Linked DNA regions of Pelodiscus sinensis. The protein of the gene in region 1 interacts with the protein of each later gene in a biochemical or structural test. Links are inferred from orthologs where the notes say so. Each region holds a gene or a part of one and is shown in the gene's direction. Other genes may lie near its edges.

Region 1 (6,954 bases):
AAACAAATAAGTTATAACTTAGTGCAAGCTGATAATTTAACTGATTAATAACATAGTAAAAGCATCTTGATTGGTTAATATCTTAGGTTATTAACTAAATCACATGGTGTTAATATCACCTGCTGCAAAGAACCACAGGAAACACATTGAAGAGATACTTGCAATTCACAAGCCTCGGCCAAGTATCACTGCTTTAACAGTATGACCATCTGTCTTCTTGATGCTAGCACAGCACTAACTCTTATTTATATTACAGTTGTATCTACAAACCCCAATATTTACATACACTTAATATGAGACTGTCTCTGCCACCAAAAAATTACAATCTAGACAAAACTGAAAAAAGATAAAGGGGTAACAGACTGAGAGATGAAATGACTAGTCCATGATCATTACATTCTTACTATAAAACATTAACAATTATACAAAATGTGCACGTAAAGCATTAGGTAAATCACTGTAATCTCCCAATAGGAAATAGCTGGCCTATACAGTTACCAACTGGCACAAGTAAAAAACCAAGCTTGTGTTGGTAAACCAAGCCAGATAAATACAAATTAGAAATAAAGTTGTTTTGTATAATGAGGGTGAGTAACCATTGCAACAAACTACCCAAGGAACTGGAGTACTCTTCATCCCTTGAGGTCTTGAAATCAAGACTAGATATCTTTCTGAATCAATATTTAGTCAAACATTAAGTTATTGAGCTCAATATAGCAGTAAGTAGGTGAAATTCTATGGCTTAGGTTGTAGAGTAGGTCTTTATCTATTGGTCCTTTGTCACCTTAAAAATCTATGAATCCATGAAACTACATGCTTTTAGGAAAAAACCCTGCTCCCTGTATTTACCAGGTGATAATGTCCTGTCCTGAGAACATAGGCCAATGGTAATAAGCACTCCTGAGTTTTAAAAGTTCTTATACAAAGGATGAGTATGTTCTAATGACGGTAATACTTGTAACTGAATATTCTGAGCGTTCAGGTGGATTGATTTCTCTAAAACCAGTCTGAACAGGAGTTGGATATACTGCCATTTAGTCATGCAGTTGAACTAAACCTGAAGTTTGTTGTTTTTCTGAGTTGGTTGTGTATTTCTTAGGGCCTTATACACATAGTTAAAGGTCCTAATTATATGTTCATAAATGCCAACCAAATTTGGCTGGGCTACAAGTTTGTGTGTACAAATTAAAAAATAACACATATGTTAATCCTCAGATTTTCAAGAGAGTTCAACTATTTGGGGTAAATCAGGGGATCTCAAACTTCATTGTATCATGACCCTTTTCTGACAACAAAAATTACTACACAACATCAGGAGGGGGGACTGAAGCATGAGCCTGCCCAATCCTTTCCACCCCAGGTAAGGAGCCAAAGTCCGAGGGTTTCAGCTCCAGGAAGAGGGCCTGTAATCTGACCCCACTGAAATGGGATTCTAACGTACAGTTTAAGAACTACTGGGCTAAATGAAATATCCAGATTTTCAGAAGTGCGCAGCTCAGTAGCTCCCACTGAGAAAATGTTTAATTCTGCTGGTGACACATCAGGCAAAGAAGCATTGGAACTGCTGGGGGCAGAGCATTTAAAAAAAATCTGGCCATTTCATTTAGGTGCCTAAATAGTAGTTGAGTTACTCTGAAAATGTGCCCAGTATGATTTAGATAAAGTCACACAGCAAGGTAATGTCAGAGGCAGGAATGGAACTTTTGTGTCACACATTGCCTCCTTTGTGAGTACAAATCTGAAAAAATGAGCATAAGCCATTATTTTGTTTATGATTTGACTATAGAACCACAGAGACTAATTCACACAAAATGTACCCATTGTACTGTTACATCCATCCCTACTCTTTCCACGTATGTCTGTTTATTCTGTTTATCATCATCCTAGATTGTAAATTTTCTGGTGCAGAAACGGGTCTAGGTGTTATATCTATAGCGCCTAGCACAAAGGCCTCTGACCCTTTATTGAAACCATTTGGAATTAATGCAGCATTTAAAAGTTATAATATACATAGGGAAAACTACAGCAGAATGAGGTAAAATATTGCTACACAATGGATTTCTAAACTAATTGTCCAAAAAATATCCGAGCATGTGCTGGCAATAGCTCTCTGATGTGTCAAGGACTAAATTAATAACTACTTCAAACCTATGCAGATAGATAATTCTTGCATTTTTAACACACTGCTTCAATCCTCTACTGATAGACAGACTGTGCCAATAAACAAAAAGCTCTTGGCCATGCTACTGTCTACAGATAGGTTAGGTACATTGGTGTATTTAACTCTAACCTATCAATTGCTTTAGGTGTACAAATAATAAAACAAATGTAGAATTTCCTTTTAAGACGTTTCATGACTAAGAACTATGAGACATGTTGGAGGATTGTCTGGAATCTCCTAATGATGTCCAAGAGATCAAGAGTATTCAGAGAGAAACTATTGTATCCTGGGGGCATTTTGAATTACAGTATGACTCTCTAAAAGTATAGCTTATGACTTTCTTTTCCATCTGCTTGCCAAAAGCAGTAGAGAAGGTGGACTGGAAAGAGGTATTATGCTGCCTGTTTGAACTTGCTCTCTGGAGCCTCTTGAAGGAAGCCCTACATCTCTGGCTCTGGGACCATTCTTCTTCTGCAATGCTGTGGGAAAAGGACCCTTGTAAAATGAAATAAAAAGGAGGAAGGGATATACAACTTCACTATTACTATGAACATTTTCAGGGAACTCTCTAATCCCATTGTAAGAACATTGCATGCCCTGAGGTGACAAAAAGAGAAACTCCATGCGGGACAGAAAACTGGAAAGGGAAAGGGAAAGCGACTACTGATTGGGCAGCTAGAAATCCTGCATTGAGGGTACATCTAGACTGCACGCCTTTTTCGACAGAGGCTTTGTCGACAGATACTGTCGAAAAAGAGCATTTAGACTACAACCTGTACTGTCAACAAAGCAAGCCACTTTTTCGAAAGAGTCTAGATACTCTCTTTCAAAAAAGCAGTTTGCCTGCAATAGTGCCTTTTTTTCCACAGAGTGCTATCGAAAAAAGGCATGATTCCTCGTAGAATGAGTTTTACCGCCGTCGACAAAACTGCCGCGTTCTGTTCACTTAGGGTACGTCTAGACTACCGCGTTTTGTCGACGGAAGTTTTGTCGACAGATACTGTCGACAAAACTTCCGTCGACAAAGAGCGTCCAGACACATTGAGTTCTGTCGACAAAGCAAGCTGCTTTGTCGACAGAACTCCGTAGTCTGGACGCAATGTTACAGGCAATAACACCTTCTGTCGACAGAAGGTGTTATGCCTCGTAAAATGAGGTTTACCAGTGTCGACAAAACTGCTGAGTTCTGTCAATGTTATGTCGACAGAACACAGCGGTAGTGTAGACGCTGGTATAGTTTTGTCGACAAAAGTCCACTTCTGTCGACAAAACTCGGTAGTCTAGACACACCCTTCCTGTCGATAGAACAGAGCGGTAGCGTAGAAGCAGGTATAGCTTTGTCGCCAAAAGCCCACTTTCAGCCACAAAACCCTGTCGTCTAGACACAGCCGCCGTTACACTTAAGAAAAGACCCGCAGAGTTCAGCTTTCAAAGGCCGTAGGGGCCAAAATCTCTCTTCCACTACACATCTGTAATTTCACTGAGATTCTCGAGGCTGCATGGGCAGGACTCGCCGGACTGTGGCGATGGGTGAGAGGAAAGAGAAGCCACGCATCCCACACACTCCCTAATGCCACATACCCCAGCTCTCTTCGTGCCACACGCCTTTCTGCGCCCTGGCCCCCGGCCCTTCTCCACCGTCCCCCTCAGGGTCCCCTTTCCCGCCAAGGCTCCAGCGCCGGGAACCAACGGCCCACGCTGCCGCTCGCGCAGGAGGCCCCCAGCCAGGGCAGGGCAGCGCGGCCCGAGGCTCGGGGAGGGCCAGCAGCAGGGCGTGGAGGCGGCGCCTGCCGAGCAGGGAGGCGGCGCCCGTCGGGAGGACGGGCCGGGCGGGGGAGTTTATCCCACTAGAAGGGAACAGTTTCTCCTGCCGAGGCTTGACAGCGCCAGGTCAGTGCGCGCGCGGCTGCGGGGTGCTCTCTGCGGGCAGGGAGGGGGGAGTGCAGCAGACGGGGGGGGTCTCTTTGGAGTGGAGGTGGACAGGGGTGTACCCCGGGGGCGGCTGGGGCTGTGGGGGTGGGGAGAGGGACATATCCCTTGGCGCAGGAAGCAGGGCTGTGCTCCGGGGGATATTTGGGGCTGGAGGCAGGGGGCTCTTTGGTGGGGCGGCTTGATGAAGGGGGGGGGCTTCATGGAGTGCGGGCATGGCGGCACGGGATGAGTGAGGGAGGATGGGGCTAGTGCCCACGGGGGGGCTCTCGCTGGCCAGGGCGCTGCTCCCAAAGGGGCTTGGGGAGGAATAAAGAACTTGGTGCATGCAAGCCCCAGGGGGAGCTGCGACCTTGGGGGCATCAGGGGGCAGTGAGATACACACAAGGCTTTACCTTTGGGTGGCCTGTGGAGTTAGGAGCATAGGTTGGTCTTGGGTGCTGTGTGATGAAGAGGTGGATTATACTGGTGGGGGCTGAGTCTCATGCAGGCAATATAAAGGGTGGGGATGGTAAATATCAGTTAATTGAACAGTTGATTAACCTCATGAATTCTTAGCAGATACTCTACTATTCTATAGTTCCCCGGGGATGGGGCCAGCAGCCAGTATGTTCCGGCTCCACTCCCGAGGAGCCCCCTGCAGTCCGCGCTGCTGTCTCTGTACGCGGGGTGCCAGGCGGGAGATCGATTGTGAGGCGTTTCAGTTTAAAAACTAGCTCCCCTAATGGAAGAGCTGCCTGTCACCCCAGAACTGAGCTGGCCTGCCTGCCCGCCTGGATCCTAATACACTTTAAATGCTGAGCTGCAGCGGGGGTTGATCCCGGAGGCCAGCCTGCTAAAAAATTTACTGGTGGGAGTGTGTGTAGTCTATAGCATTAACCAATAAGATTTTGCTTATTGGTTGATGAGTGAATTGACTATACTGTTACGTCTCTAATAAAGTGTATTGGGGATAGGCAGAGGGACAGGGTAAATGAGTGCTGTATGAGGATGTGGGAATGCACACAGAGACATACGTCCATTATTGCTATATGTGTGATATTGAGGTATATAAACAATAAACTGTGAGCCTCTGGTACATTGTGATATTTGCAGGTGGCTATTTCCCTTGTTACAGTATGTGGAGAGGGGAAATAGCTGGGGAGTGTTACTCACTTTACTTACCTGATAATGAATGAAAAGCATCATTTTCTCTTTGACTTCTCAATCAAGAAGAGTCAGGAAGTCCTGTGTTTAGTCATGCCACAGCAGAGATATTATGTTGAAATATATTATGTATGGGTGGCATCCCCCAGGCTTGCAGTATTTTGTAATCCTCCTGGTGTCATTTCTCTCCACGGTATTCTATAGCTGGGAACTGCAAGTTCTTGTAGTGTTATAACTTCAAGGCAGTATATGCACATGATACAGTGCTGTGATAGTATTTTATTATAACATTATATCATGAAATTAGACAGATATCTATGTGTAGCCATTTGGAGGTAAGCATAGGAAGTTATAAAGAAATGATCAATTGTTACTTACCTTTGGACTTATTATTTAATAGTCTTGATACATTTAAGTTAAATTAAAAAGATCAATTATAATTGCCCAGATATTTAAACAGAGAATGTGGATTGATACATTTTGTTTGTGGCCTACTCTCTACATCTCCAAAAGAGTTGTTTGTCTGGAATGTTACATTAATGTTTGTCGGAAATATGAACCAATGTTCAAAAATATATTTCCCCCTACAGTCTACCTACGCATAATAATATGCATAGAGTAACTTTTTAAAGATGATAATAATGCATTACTTGTTAGAAGAAGAGGACCCAGTGTGGCCCCTGGGGTACACTGGAACTTGTATAACTTGTAGTTCCAGTCTACCTTTTCAAACTAGTCATGTCTATTGTTCCCTTATTGATATTAGAATATCTTGTGCATAGTTATAGTGAACATTTTTATGCCCTCTAACCTACTGGAGATTAGTGTGAAAAATTAGCAGAAATGTAAGTATGAGACAATGAAGAATCACTTTTAAAAAATTCTGTGCAAAGTAAATTAGAATGTTGTCAGTTGGGGGAGGTATTTGATAAAATGGTCAGACCTAGATGTTCAGATTAGCAGGTAAACATCAAAATAACTGTGGATAGGTATTCTAATAGGAGCTACTTTCAGATTTAAATCTTCTTAGACATCAGTTTATTAAAATATTGCATTATTGGTTTACATTTTTATATATTCCTGTGAGTAGCTCTAGAAGAAAGCATCCATTCCTTGATAAATAATACTTGATCTGAAAGGTATGTTATGCTGTGTCAGATGTTAGTGTAGCATGAAAAGTTTGTCATTAGATATACTTTCTATGAAAAAATATTCTCTTCCTCCCTGTTAAGTATTTAATATAGTCAGACGCCACAACAAAAAGCCTATAAGATGGTAACATTGATCAATATTTCGGCTTCAGTTTTTAACTTTTGCGTTATGATACCGATATTGACATAGCTTCTGAATCTAAGTTTTTTCTACTTGACTTTTCTTTCAGTTTCTATAGATCAGTTCCTAAATTCAGGCCCAATTCAGTTGATCTCAGTATAAATGTATTCTATATAGTCAGTACTAGAATCGTTTTAACCAACAGTTTAATCAGTCAATCAATAAATAGTGTAAAAGTAGAAGCAAAATTGTTTTGTACAAAGATAGGCAAACTAGTCACTGGAAATTTGTCTGGAAGCACCTTTTGATTTTTTTCAGGTGTATTAGCTATTCGAAAAATTCAGAATTATTTTACTGGCTATTTCTTATTCTGTAACTCAGTTGTCATTAGTTAGCTTTGGGTATTTGGTATTTGAAACTTGAGTGACTTAAATTATTTTTTATAC
Region 2 (7,196 bases), on another chromosome or scaffold:
GCAGTTGTATCTTACCTAAAAGGTTCATTATCATGAACTGGTATGTTGATTAAACCAAATATAGCCTTTTAACTAAAGTTGGTGTACTACTGTTGGCTAGCCAGAGGATACACTAGATCCCTATAAATATCTATTTAAGAAATAAAATTTAACATACTCTTATTCAAATTTGTTAATATTTTTTTACAATACGCCTTCACTATGGATTTGTCATCCTATGATTGGATGAAAACTGGAATTCAGTTTAAAATGTATAGAGAACATTTTAAAATTGATCTTTTTATTGGATACAGAAAATAAAAATTATCAAAATACATCTTAAATTTAAAAATATATTAAAGTATTAACTGTAGTTAGTTGACTTTCTGGTCAATGTGGGTCAAACTTTCTACTTAGGACTCTAAAGGCGTATATTGGCACTTATTCTTCCTGGGTGTATTTAAAAATCTCACTAGGCACTTCTCTGCAGCTTGAGATGACTAAATATCTTTGAAACTCTGGCCCTATGTCCTTCAAATTCTTTAGAATTAGGAGAGCTTATCCTCTCCAACCTTATTTTAAGTCATAGATGGAAGAAAACAAACTTCCCTGCTTTTTCAACTCATTTTCTTAACTTTGAATGAACTAGTCCAAATAAAGAAAATATTTTCTCTTCACCAGCTATGTAAGCTGAATCTAAAAATAATTAGGGCAAAATCTTTTCTGTTAAACCAAAACTGACAGTTTGAATTGATATCAAAAGATAGGCTTTCCCCTATTTTGTATATTTTTTAAAAAAAGAAGCACCTTTTTCACTTAGCAACTTGAAAGCTCAATGATACAGCATATTTCTTAAATTACATTAGTAAATGTAACCCTTAAATTTGAGAATGTCTAAAATACATTTTATTTTTAGAACTCTGTTTTTGATGCTTGCTAATTTTAGCTAAATAGTTAATATATTATAAAAATATTGTTTTTTTTTTTTTTAATCTGCCTTCTTGGAGACTGGCCATCAAGAGCATCAGCTGTTTTAGCAGATTGGCAAATGAACCTCTAGAATGACTTTTGAAGTTTTGTGCATCAGCTTTCCCTCAAACTATAATAGAAGTACTCAAAAGGCACTGGGATTTGGTTGTTAACTAGAGGTGTAATTTCTAAAAGCACCTATATCTTATTTTCGATAGCAGTCTAAATTGCTTACACTGCCGCTTCCCGTTTTGTATGTGTGCAACTGATTGGTTTTCTTTTCTAAGAGGAGTACTTTTGCATTTATCCTTTTTGAATTTCATTCTATTTACTTCAGACCATTTCTTCAGTTTGTCAGATTACTTTGAATTCTAATCCTGTCCTCCAAAGCACTTGCAAACACTCCCAGCTTGGTATTGTATGCGAACTTTAAGTGTCATTTTCTAAACCGTTGCTGAACGTATTAAACAGAACCAGACCTCGAACTAATCCCTCAGGGACTCCACTCAGTATGCTTTTCCAGCTTGACTGAATCACTCTTTGAATATTAGGGTTGGAAGAGACCTCAGGAGGTCATTGTGTCCAGCCCCCTGCCCAAAGCGGGACCAACGTTAACTAAATCATCCCAGCCAAGGCTTTGTCAAGCCAGGACTTAAAAACCTCTAGCGATGGAGATTCTTCCATTTCCATAAGGAACCCATTCAAGTGCTTCACCACCCTCCTATTAAAATAGCTTTTCCTAATATCCAACCTAGATCTCTCCCACTGCAACTTAAGACCATTGTTCCTCATTTTGTCATCTGTCACTACTGAGAACAGCTTATCTCCATCGTCTTTGGAATCTCCCTTCAGGTACTTGAAGGCTGCTATCAAATGCCCTCTCACTCTTCTCTTCAGTAGACAAGCCCAAATCCCTAAGCCTTTCCTTGTGCTCCAGCTCCCTAATAATTTTTGTTGACCTCTACTGAACTTTCTCCAGGATGTCCATGTCTCTTCTGTAATGGGGGCAGGGAGTCGGGATGAGGGCAGAATTGGATGCAGTACTCCAGATGTAGCCTCACCAGTGCTGAATAAAGTGGAATAATCACTTCTCTAGATCTGCTGGCAATGTTCCTTCTAATGCACCCTAATATGCCATTAACCTTCTTGGCTTCAAGAGCACACTGTTGAATCATATCTAGCTTCTCGTCCACTGTAATCCCCAGGTCCTTTTCTGCTGAACTGCTGCTTAGCCAGTCAGTCCCTAACCTATAACAGTGCTTGGGATTCTTCTGTCCCAAGTGCAAGACTCTGCGCTTATCTTGTTGAACCTCATTGGCCTTTGGAAATGGTTTTCCAACCAGTTATGCATCCATCTTTATGATTGCTCCATCTAGGTTGTGTTTTTCTTGTTTTAAGGAGAACATGTGAGACTGTATCAAAAGCATTACTAAAGTCAAGGTAAACCACATCTACCGCTCCTCCCATCCCATAAGGCTTGTTACCCTGTTAGGTTTGACACAATTTGATCTTGACAAATCCATCTTAAAACTAAACCTCGTATTAATCTGTGGTATAGTTTTAATAACAATGTTGCCTTTCTGGATTGCAGTGCCTTCTCTCACACTTAATGTGTTCAGCAATAATCATTTTTATTATCTCAACTGCAGCTGGTTGTCAACAGGTGGGATCAAACTTTAGACCTCTGAAGCTTACTGAATAAACCCATGTTGCATGAGCTAAAGGCCAAATGACGATTAGCTCAGGCTGTAGTAAATGCCTCAATCTCGAGATGTTCTAGGTACCATTAGAAGGGATCAGAGTGCCACACCAAACAGGCCTGCATTACACTGCCAGCAAGCTTCATGGATTATTTTTCAGCATGTACTTTCATCTGCCTAAGATTAGAGAAAAGGCAAAATTCTCTATTAGCACTAGCCTCTGAGAATCTGTCAAAAGAATGGCAGTTCAGGGCTTTATAACCTCTTGTCTTGTGAAGTTCCTCATTGTGATTTTTAGAAAGCAAGCATGGCAGTAATGCTCATGAAGTAGAGCAATCTGGAGAGAGAGGTGGAAGTAAATAAGGCTTCTGTGTTGAACTCATTGCTAAATGACAAGATTGTCAGGTCCAGCTGTATTCACTAGCAGGATTCTTTTGTAGCTGATGGATTGACAGTGACTAGCCAAGAAACCTATAGGTGGCCAGACACTGCTGGTTTTGCTATCCATAACTGGGTAACTGTTAAACTATGTGAGACATAAGTTTTGCTATTGCACTTCTTCACAATCTGGATACTGACTGGTAACAATGGTTACTACTTCCTAGTAGAACAGTTTAATGTGGGAGAAAGTGTTCCCAGTACATAGTATTCACACCTATGCAGCGAGGAAAGTACCAGTGAACTGTAGTCATTACTATTGCAAAAATCTTGGATTGTGAGATTTAAAACAGGATTGTTGATGTGAGGAAAGAGCTGGCAACATACATCAGTAAGCCAATGATCAACCAGACCATAATGGATCTGAAGTAATTTCATTATCAAAGTAACCAGGGAAGATCATGCTTCAAGAAACGTATTATCTAGTGTGAAGGGACACACTTAAATCTAAAAATACTACTACATGACTAAACCTCTGACTGCTTTACTTAGCATAGCTCTTAGTAAAGGAGGAGACATCATGCTTAAAAGTCTAATTCTCTTGTGGTGAATGTTGCTAAGACTTTTATCAGAGTGTTACTTTCTATAGCAGACTTGGATAACTTCAGGCCCATCGATGGTGGGAGGGTGCTAAAAAAGGCAGCTGTCCCAGGGCCTGGCAATTCAAAAGGGCCCAGGGCTCCTGGCCACTACTGCTATTACTGCAGCAGTGATAGTGGCCAGAACCCTAGGCCCTTTAAATAGAGGTCACAGCCCTGAGGAGCACACTCCTGAGGGCTGGTTGCGGGGGAGGGAAGTACCCAGCACAGTCTATGGGTGAGGCTGAGGGCTGGCTATTCTCAGTCCTGCCCCTTCTGGGAATGCAGTCACCTTGCCCAGGAGCCTAGCATTTCTTTTACCCTCTCTTTCTCCCACCCCTCAAGTAAATTGATAAGTTTAATTTTGTTAACCTGTAGACTAAATTAACCGAGTCATACTTAAGTCTCTTTGTTTCTAGTTTTTTTTTTTTTTAAGGCTTCTTCTTTATCAACTTGAAACTCAAAAAAAAAAAAATTGTATTACTTAATGGTTATACATAACTTTCTGAACCTGTGACCAAAACAGCTCTTTGAAAACCCACACTGTAACTTTGATTAGTGATGCTTGGTGGAATAGCTGAACTGTTTGTTATAAAAAAGACAGTAAATAAGCTATTATATGTTGATTAATTTCTAGCCATTAAAATGTGGGTAATGAGGTTAAATGAACCTTGGAGTATTAACAAAAAAACCTTGTTTGCGTGCAAACTAAGTAGTGTTAACTTTAGTCCTGGCCCTTATTTGGAGAGGGGATAAAGCTGTTCTTTTTACTGCATACTAACCAAAAATATAGAAAAGGTCATGTAAATATTGAGCAGAAAATATCCAACAGTTTGACCTATGATGAAGGGATAAATGGTCTAGTGTTCTCTCCTCCTGTTTGAGCTTTACCAGACCAGTAATTCATTCCTTCTTAATATGTTAGCATTTAGTATTGCATGAAGTATCATTTCTGTTCACTGCTATTGACACTTCACAGCAAGACTACATTTTTTCCAAAAGTCCCACTAGGTGCCAGCAAAGGGCCTTTTCTGTCAATATGGCAAATGCCTGGAGAAATTGTCATTTTTAGTCTTTCATTTTTGGGGAAAATTACCAGTATATTTTTAGTTTGATTAGTCTAATTGTGTTTCCATAGTGGCTCTCAAAGCACTTTATTAAAATTGCACCTCCTTTCTATTCTTGTTACTGTAGTTAACTGTGAATGTATAAGATTACTGTACAGTGTGCATACAGTACCTTATGGAATGTAGCTTGGAGTAGTCTTCATCTGTGAATTGTATGCTATATAAGCAGTTGTTTAAATATGCAGCATATACTGTACAGCTGTAGAAAGACCTCATATGAACTGTGTGTGTGAGATAAATACATATAAAATCTCTGTAGGTACGGACCTGAAGATTTCACACCAAAAGCATTGTTGAACATTTCATACTCTGCCTCTCTAATTCGTAGATAACCAGACGTTAGTCCAGAACATGGACTGCTGACCAACAATTTAAGCACTTGAGTTTGAAATGTAAAAAGTTGTAAAAGTGTGAAAAGTCTAACTCAGCACACTTTTAACCTGAAAGACTAAAATATACTCACTAGAAAAGAACCTCTGGGCTTCACTGAAACCTTGAGCGACAAGCTTTTAATCAGGAGGAAATTTTATGGTTTTATTTAACCCAGTTATATCTTTGTTAAAAACTGAAGTAATGTGGCACTGTAGGATTCCATGAACTGTGAACCATATTAAGTGTAATTCCAGTAGTTTTCTTAGGACTCTCAAAATAACTCTAATTTTAACCTTTTGTTAGTATGAAATGGCTTAGTTCATTGGTTTTTGCATAACCAGATGTAGTTTACTTGCATGGGTTACTATTTGGCAATTCAATCCTAGATTTGATACTCTGTTATAAGGGACTTCATTGCTACCAACTTCCTGTAATTCTAAACCTGTGGGTAAAAATATTAGTAGTCATACGCTGCCGCAGAGAGCATAGACATGTTGGTTAAGCTAGTGTAAGTGCTGCAAAATTTTCTGTTTTTAAACTCCTGAGAGCTGGAATATTCTTGGGTTATATTCATTTATGTACATTACAGAAGGTAACATTGAAACAAGTTTGGCAGCGTGTCAGTATACAGCAGCTGAGTTAATCTTGATGGTCGTTGGAAATCAAGTGCTTTTTAAGTGATTGCATTCTGTCTACAAACAGACAGCCCAGAAACCACAGTTCAAGGAATGGCTGACTTGTTTTAGGAGGTGCTAGTTACTGTCTTGCCGAAATAGGGACAAAGGCTGCATCTTTCATGGGATCTCACTTTTGCAATGTGTTTGAACTGGATCACAGTTCTGTGCAGCTGCCTCTAGCCTTTCTGCAAAAGGAGCTTTATGGTTCTTACTTGCTAACATGTGTGCAAATGAGAACAAATGGCACGACGGTTAAGATTGCATTTTGCAGCCCGAAGAAGCAACACTGATCCGTTATCAGAAACCTCTGGCGATGGTTTGGATAGTAACATTCATGTGTATTTCCAAAGACCTTCACAGAATTCTGCACCTGATATTATAGAAATGAAGCTGACTCCCAGGCAAGCTGGCTTTCCAACTACAATGCAGGAAATAATTAATCAACAGCAGCATTCAACTGTTTCTTCACTGCAAAAGAACAACAAAAAGAGCACCTCACTGCAGATTTCCCTGCAGTCTAGAAGGTATAGTGAATGTTTTCAATCTGATGCAGTAGTTGCTAGTGAAGACCCTTTCATCAGTGTTGGTAATGAAGGAAACACTTGTAGCAGGAATATGGCTGATTACAGATCTAATATGTTAAATAGTAGCAGCCATTTAAGCAATGCTACCATGTGCAATACTAATCTAGGTGATATTGCAGCCAATAACACTGGATACCTCAGTAGCACTGGGAGTGACTATGAATCGTGTGCAAGTATCACTAGTGATGGAGACTCATTCAGCAACAGTATCATCAGTGACAGTAGTAGTTGCACTCTTTCCACAGGTGGTGATACTTTCTGTAGTAATATTGTATATAGTACTTCTTCATATAGAAGCACGGCATACAAATGTAATTCCTATAGGAACAATATATCTCAGGAAACTTCATGTAGAAGTAAAAATAATACTGCTTTTGATCAAGATGGTTTGGAGCAAATGAAATTGCCAATGAGGAGGAAAACTAAAATTCCACTACGGCGTTTTTCATCATTGGTAATCTTTCCTAGGAATCCTTCGACAACCCCACCAACTTCTCCAACATGTTTGGGTCCCCTGCCAAGCAGAGGACCTTATCAAACATCACATCGATTAGTTATTTCTCCTACTGAACTGGCACAGAATGAAGATCAAGCAACTTCTACAGGGTTCACTTCAACATCAGTCAGTGGACTTCGACTGTCTAAAACGGTTGGCTCTCCTGGTGACACTAGAGACATTAGACCCCTTTACTTGAATAATTCATTACAAGACAAAAATCAGGCCACAAGTAGAGTTGAACAAAAGCCATCTGATAGTTTCTCTTGTATTTCA
Region 3 (7,196 bases), about 15 Mb from region 1:
CCTCCAGTCTGAAGGATCCTGCCACCTGTGTTTTTCCCAGTGTGTTGGCCTTTCTTAAGAGACACCAATTCCCCCTCTTCTCCTTTTCCCACATTTCAGATCCCAAATCCACTGTGCCTGCCTTACCCCCAAAGCAACCAGGGAAATCACTGCCAACCAAGGCCTAGGAAGCAGTTTTCACAAGCCACCATCACAATACTTTTCCAAAACAAAACAGAGGCCCAGTTGAGGAAATAATGGGTGGGGTGGGGGGAGAAGGGACAAAGTGGGGGAAACCCAGACTCCTGGGGAATCCCAGCTTCTCTTCAAGCCCCCCATATTCATAACCAGCACTCCAGTAATGGGTGCTCCCCCCACACTCACATCTGTATGAGCTCAACTGCGTTTACACATCCAACTGTCCCAGTAACTCGCTGTATGAGTATTTCATGCAAACCCTCCAGAGATGAAGGTAAGGAGAAGAGATACCCCAGAGTTAAATGGGGGTCCTGAATTTGAGGAAAGTCCCTATTGCTGGGGTGAGCGTATACACTTACCTTCCATTTCTGCCATAAGTCAGGCTAGGTTCCAGGCTAGGAATACAGGAGGTACTGCGGTGGGTGCTCCCTGGCTGGAGGGAGTCAAGGAAGGGGGCTCCCAGCTTTGGAGCCAGAAGAATCCAGGGAATACGAGGCTGGGGAGGGCTCCTGCGCGGGGCTCAGGAAACAAACCCCAGTCCACAAGAAGGACGTGTGCGAGCTCGGGGGGGTGTCTCAGTACAACGGCAGGCGGGGGGGGGGGGGGGTTAGACTCCAAGGGGATGGGGGCCTCTGTGGGGCGAGGCCCCCAACGGAGAGAATTCTGAGAGGGAACGGGAGGATTGTGGCTCCTGTGCGGGTCCTAGGCGGGAGGGGGATCCCGACCCCGTGTCCCAGCCCCACTCGGGAGAGGGCTGCTGGTGGGGCGTCCCGAGGAGCTTGTCCGGGCGGGAGACGAGTCCAATCGTGGGCGGGTCCAGCCCCTCGAAGGGTTCCTAGGCGGAAGCGGTGCTCCGGGCCCAATCGGGGGTCCGCGTCAGGGGCGGGGCCAGGGGCGTGGTCCACGCGGGGTCCTCCGGCGGGATCGGGTCCAGCACCCGCCGTATCCGTTCGCAAACTACGCCGCACGCGGAAATGCCCGCAGCACGTGATCCGCCCCGCTGCTGGGAAAGCCCCGCCTCATGCAAACGAGCGCGGGGGGGGGGATTCCACGCAGGCGCAGAAGCGACGAAGGCAGCCAGGGCAAATTGCAAAGCCAAGAGAGGCGGCGGGGCCATGTTGCAGCTGGGAACGTGGGGGCTATTAAGAACCTAACCAAGAGTGCTCTGGGGTCATTCAGGAATCACACACGGGACCATTATGGAGCCCTTGACTAGAGGGACCAATTCATGAGACATAAACCATACTACGAGTAGGGTAGGGCCTACTGCATTATACAGGGACCAGAGTGGGGGTGATACAAGGCTACATATGGGGCTGTGCATGGACATTATAGTGCCCTATAGGCTATGAGAAGGCCACAAAGGAACCAGGAAACATGTGTCTTACAGCTGCTGTGGCCTCCCCATTGGGTTTTTTAGGCCAAATGTCCACAGCAGTAAATGGTTGAATAAATGGCCCTGCAGTTGCCTTTGGGGATTCAAATCCCAGAGGTGGCCCATTAAGGCTATTTCTTAGCAACACTGTTGTTCTGTTCCCTGTTTATAGGACACCATAGGCACCATTAGCTAATAAACTCATGCTGCCTCCCTTAAAGAGGACACAACCATATCACCTTACCTCTGCCCCCAGCAAATTCTTGGGCTATGTCTACACTGGCAGCTTCTTGCACAAGAACATCTTGCACAAGGATTCTTGTGCTAGAACTCTTGCACAAGAACACGGCCACACTGTCATGTGCTTTTGCACAAGAGCATCCATGGCAGTGTGGACGCTGTCTTGCTCAAGAAAGCTCTGATGGCCATTTTAGCTATAGGGCTTTCTTGCACAAGAAACCCCTGCTGGGCGTCCGCACTGCCCTCTTGCGCAAGAGAGCTTACATTTGTTAGAAAAGAGCATAGTTCTTGCACAAGAAGCCCTCTCTTACCACACTTTACTGTAAATCTTCTTGTGTAAGAGCTGGCGAGCAGTGTGGAGGCTCTGCGGAAGGATGGCTGTTCTTGCGCAAAAACCCGCCAGTGTAGACATAACCTTGGAGAGATTGTGCTTCATTTCCTTTCTGGTGCAAATATCATTCTTCAGGCTCTCACTTTGAGCATGACATACTTCTCTTTGCTTCCCTTCCTTGGCCCTCCCTTTTCTCCTGTATCAGTCTAAGCTGCTTCTCTTCCCTTTCAAGGCCCTCCATTGCCAATCCCCATCTGACTCATCTCTTACAGGGCTGCTGGAACAGTTTTTACAAGAAGGTGCTGAGAGTCATTGAACCAAACTGTAAGCCACAAACATAATGGAAACCACTTCAAGCCAAAGAGTGCAGCAGCACCCTGACTTCCAGCACCTATACATTTTCATTTTCAGCCCATGCTGCCAAGCATTAACTGCCTAAAAGGGATGTTACACAAATAAACACATTTTAAATCTATAACCATTGAATTTTCCAGTGGCTACACATTTACATGCAGTGGGAAGGAAGGCGGAAGCCAGTGCTGGCAAGGAGCTGGTTTTTAAGTCAGGTCCCTGTCGTCAGCAGCAGCTCCTGTCCTCCCTCCCACTGCCCCCCCCCCCCGCCCCTGCTGCCTCTGTATCAGAGGAAGCAATGCAGGGGGCAGGAGGCTTCCTGTGAGCACTAGCTCCCACCTCCTCCTTATCCCCCACCGCTCTGTGGGAGGCAGCAGTACGGGGGGGGGGGGGGGGGGAAGGCTAGGCTACCTGCACATACCAGCTCCCACCCACTGAGGCAACAGTGCGGGAGGAGGTTGGTTTGACAGGAGCTGGTACACATGGGAACCATCTTAAAAGCTGGCTCCTCCCCCCCTCTGTTGCCTATGTGTCAAAGGCAGCAGGGGGGGGGGCGTGTAACACAGTGTTAAGCAATGAGCCCAGACTCATTGATTAATCGTGTACTTGGATACACACTCACATCCCTACTGCATACTTATTATATTTCTACTAAGCCTCTTCATCCTTTCTCCTATGCTATCACTCATGTTTATGAGTTCCCTGTAAGTGCATGCAAAGCTATCTCATTGAGCTCCTTCAAACTATCCTTTGATGGGATGCTTCAAAAAGCATGACATGTAGATTGTTGGTGGTGAACCCATTGCCCAGCATGCAGACCAGATTGTCTCATTGTTCATGGCTGTATCCACCTGTCATTTCTGGATTTATAGGTTGTGAGGCAGGTTCTATGTTTTTACAGCACCTTGCAACATGGGGATCCTAGGCAAGCATAGAGAAAAGGCTACCTATTAACAGCCTCTTTAAGTCAGAACTTGATATGAGGGTGATTTACAAGACAGAACTAGAAAGCCCTCTAAAAGAAGATTAAAGATTCCTGGGGTCATTGAGGCAAGGCAAGTGGTGCCACAGCAAACTACTGGAAATCTATGGAGACAGATGCTGCCACACCAACTTAGAAAGCTGGGCTCTAGTCCTAGTTCTGCTTTAAGCTTCCTACCTGGACACAGAAAGGGTGCTTTTCGCCTGCCCCGGCAGCGATACGAGGTCAATAAGGAAGGGCTGGGAAGCAGGTGGACATGTTAGAAGCTTGAACTCCTGAGCCCTGGCTCCGAGTCTCTGGCTACTACAAGTTAGGTGGCTGTGGGCCCCAGCAGCTGTCGGGCCCAGGGCTCCAGGGGCCCGTGTCACGCGGCTCCACTGAAGGCCCCCCCTCTACTTGGTTGCGGTTTTAGAAACTGGGAGGGAGGGAAGGCGATGGGGAAGCCGAATCTCGGGGACCCCTCGAAACGCTGCCGGGCCCTCAACCGGCCTCGTGAGGCTAAACGCTCCAGAGGCCTCGTCACGTCCGAGTCACATGATTTTCTCCCATGCGCCCAGCTAGCTGCGCACGTACGTGGGGCAATCTCCCGCTGTCGCCATTCGTGCTTCGCCCGCTAACTGCGGTCCCGCCAACTCCTCAGATTCCTTTCCGATTCAGGCGAACGCCACGAACAGCCCCGGAGCGGGTCCTCGCTGGGACCGGAAGGAGTTAATCATGCTGCCGGAAGTAATTCTGAGCAGGGCCGAACGCTAGCAACATATACTGAGTGGACCGGAAGTAGCTATAACAGACCGGAAGGGCCCCCACGCGTTCCCGGAAACGTCCCGGCACGGGGAACGGAAGAGAAGACCCCGCTCGCCGGCGAGCATTCAAGATGGCGGAGGTGGTGAGTGGGATGTGTAGGGTGGGGTCCGGCGGGGGGATTCCTGTGGGTTCCTGTTTAACTGTTCTGCATCCCGCCCGCAGGGAGAGGTGACCGAGGGCTGCCGGCTGCCCGTGCTGCGTCGCAACCAGGATAACGAAGATGAATGGCGTAAGTGAGGGGGTGGGGCTAAATGATGGGGGTGGGATTTAAAGAGGAGGGGCTAGAGGGTATATGAGAGGCACGGGGGATATCTTGGGAGACGTAGGGACACGGGGCCGTGTGGAAAGGGAGGACGGGCGGGAGTCTCAGAAGGCTAATGAAGAGACCAGTGTATAGGAGGAAATGGGCCCAATGCAGAGGATAGAAGAATCGGCCAATGGGGGACCTCAGTTGGAAAAAGGGATAAGGCTGCATCATTTATGAAAGGGGGAAACAGGGAATGTGAGGGGGGCAGTAAGCACGTGGAGCTGGGCATCTCTTTCCTTTTAGAGGCTTTGAACCCAGATTGTAGGAATGATTGGTCATCTCTAGTGCTTGCCATGCTTTTGGGATGCATCTTAGGTTCCCTAGGGAGGGAAATGTTAGCCTGTCATTTTGGAACTGCCAACTCATCTCCTGGTTAAAGGGAGTGCCCCAAAGCTGTGGGATAATCCCTTCCATTTCAGGTCATGGTCAAGGATCCCAGGGCAGCATTTGAAGGCGAGAGCTGTCACACTTTGGGTGGGAGAGACTCTGGATCAGTGTTTCTCAACCTTTTTTTGTATAAGGTAGCCCCTTTAAAAAAAAAAAAAAAAAACCATAAGTACCTTGAGTACCTACAGTTTTCAGACATGCAATGTTTTCTACCATTGCAACACATTTGTTTAAATAATTTAATCGTAGCTTAGCTGGCGATGAAATTTTTGGGTGTAAAAAATACAAAAATAATAAAGTGCTGTAAAACTTTTTTAAAAAATCAGTTTTCTCCAAATTTCAGTTGTTGATCTACCCCCAAACTTCTCTTGAGTACCTCTGAGGATACTTGTACCACCGATTGAGAAACACTGTTCTGGATAATACCCAGGGCACTGCCCCAGAATCAGAATGATCTCCGGTATCTATATAACTGTATTGAGGATCAAGTTTGGCCTTGGTGTGGACACATGTTGCAGGGATGTGCTGATCTGCGAGTGTGGCCCTTGGTACCTACAAATATAAAGGTACATTTTTGTGCATTTTTCTCTCCCAGTATATCTCTCAAATATACTTGGGGAGTGAGCTCTTGTGAGCAAGGATTTTTTCTCACTCTGCAGTGCTAGGCACAGAGGAGAGACCTCCTGACCCAGAAAATGTTGGTTCTACTGAAACACTGCCAGAGTTGGAGAAAAAATCTCTAGTATGAAAAATGCCTCATTCTAGTGCAAACATCATGTATTTTTCTATACGCACTTTATTGAAATAATAATCTCTCATATGTCTATATTGTCACCCTCCCAAGTTCTGCAGAGATTTCACCTGCTAGATTTGGTAGAGGGTATTCTTAATTTATACTCTTCAAAGTGTTCCCACTTAAACAATACCACAGCCATAGGAATTAATTGCCACACTAGATCAGACCTGGGTTACATGCAGCTGAGTGTTTCAGTGGAACGTGTAAAAACTTTTACATTGTTTTGGAATAACCTGATAGGAGGTGGGTTCCCCCAATACTTAGAAGATAGCTTAACTTTTGAAATGGGAGGTTTCCAAAACTCCTGTTCTTTTTTTCGGGTTGACCCTCGATGGTCTCCTCCTTATGAGCTTCCAGTCTCCTTTGAGATCCTGCACTTAACTGTGTCAAGTGCCAGTGAGTTCCAGAGGCTGGTGGTGTATTACATGAAAAAGAATGTTGTTTGATTGGTTTTGAAGTGTTCTTGAAATTTTCATTGCAGTTATGCTACAAGACATGGAAATGATGTGCCCATCCCCATTCTCTATCCCTGTCATTTTTCTATATACTTTTATCATGTGTCATTTCTTCATCTGCTCTGTAAACCAGACAATCCCAATAACTTATTTTTCTAGGAGAGTTCCTCTTCCCCCATCCCCACCCTGGTGCCGTCTCTGAATCGTGGACCCCCCCCCCCCATCTAATTCTGCTAAATTCTTGTTCACCTGGGAGATCAAACCAGAATGCAGAGTTTATAGAGACCAAGGCCAAAAAGGATTGACCATCCAGTCTGATCACCAGCATTACCTAAGCCTGAGACTCCATCTCCGACATTCCTGCATTGAGCACAGATCTGGGAGTTGAGCTAGAGTGAAGCTTTTAGAAAGAGATGTCTAATCTTGATTTAAAGATGCATTTCCAAGTCATTTCTAGCCTGAATATCCAGCAGTTGGATCAACTTCTAGCTTTATCTGCTGCATTAACAACCCCTCTGTTGTCAAGAATCTTTTTCCCATGTAGCGTCGTCCAGCCATCTTTTAACCTCCTCCTGTCACACAGAGCACACGTTGTCAGGCGAGTCTTCCAAACACTTGAATCATTCTTATATCTCTTTCCATCTTGTCAGCTTGTTTTTAGAAGTGTGGCCATCCAAACAGGACACAATATCCAGTAATGCTGTTACTTTTGTACATAGCCCATCCTAGCTTCTGCCTGAAATACCCCTGTTTATCCATCTAATGTGCATTCACCCTTTTAGCTACAGTGTCACATTGGAAGGTCATATTCAACTGTTTATCTACCATGACCTCATGTCATTTTCAGAGTTGCTGCTTTCCACAGTACAGTAAACATCTTAAACAGTTGACCTGCACTCTTAGCTGTGTGACCTTGTTCTTTTGGACTTCCAATAGTTAAAAGTAATGCTCCAGATGACTAGAACTGAAAGAAATGAATCAAACTAATGTA

The links.
Region 2: of the proteins of PPARG (region 1) and NEDD4, one has a biochemical effect on the other in vitro, tested with the Homo sapiens proteins (2 studies listed by BioGRID). The link is inferred for Pelodiscus sinensis from reciprocal best matches to the Homo sapiens genes PPARG and NEDD4.
Region 3: the proteins of PPARG (region 1) and KAT5 form a complex in vitro, tested with the Homo sapiens proteins (2 studies listed by BioGRID, with this or other methods). The link is inferred for Pelodiscus sinensis from reciprocal best matches to the Homo sapiens genes PPARG and KAT5.

The regions. Positions count from the first base shown.
Region 1 is NC_134721.1:47,571,858-47,578,811, forward strand, and holds the start of PPARG (peroxisome proliferator-activated receptor gamma), read left to right. Parts: upstream 1-3,931; 5' UTR 3,932-4,051; intron 4,052-6,954. UniProt on the Homo sapiens protein: Nuclear receptor that binds peroxisome proliferators such as hypolipidemic drugs and fatty acids.
Region 2 is NC_134724.1:28,002,314-28,009,509, reverse strand, and holds the start of NEDD4 (E3 ubiquitin-protein ligase NEDD4), read left to right. Parts: upstream 1-4,185; 5' UTR 4,186-6,080; coding exon 6,081-7,196. UniProt on the Homo sapiens protein: E3 ubiquitin-protein ligase which accepts ubiquitin from an E2 ubiquitin-conjugating enzyme in the form of a thioester and then directly transfers the ubiquitin to targeted substrates. Specifically ubiquitinates 'Lys-63' in target proteins.
Region 3 is NC_134721.1:32,635,626-32,642,821, forward strand, and holds the start of KAT5 (histone acetyltransferase KAT5), read left to right. Parts: upstream 1-4,185; 5' UTR 4,186-4,330; coding exon 4,331-4,342; intron 4,343-4,422; coding exon 4,423-4,489; intron 4,490-7,196. Other genes in the region: RELA (transcription factor p65), read right to left, coding at 537-552. UniProt on the Homo sapiens protein: Catalytic subunit of the NuA4 histone acetyltransferase complex, a multiprotein complex involved in transcriptional activation of select genes principally by acetylation of nucleosomal histones H2A and H4.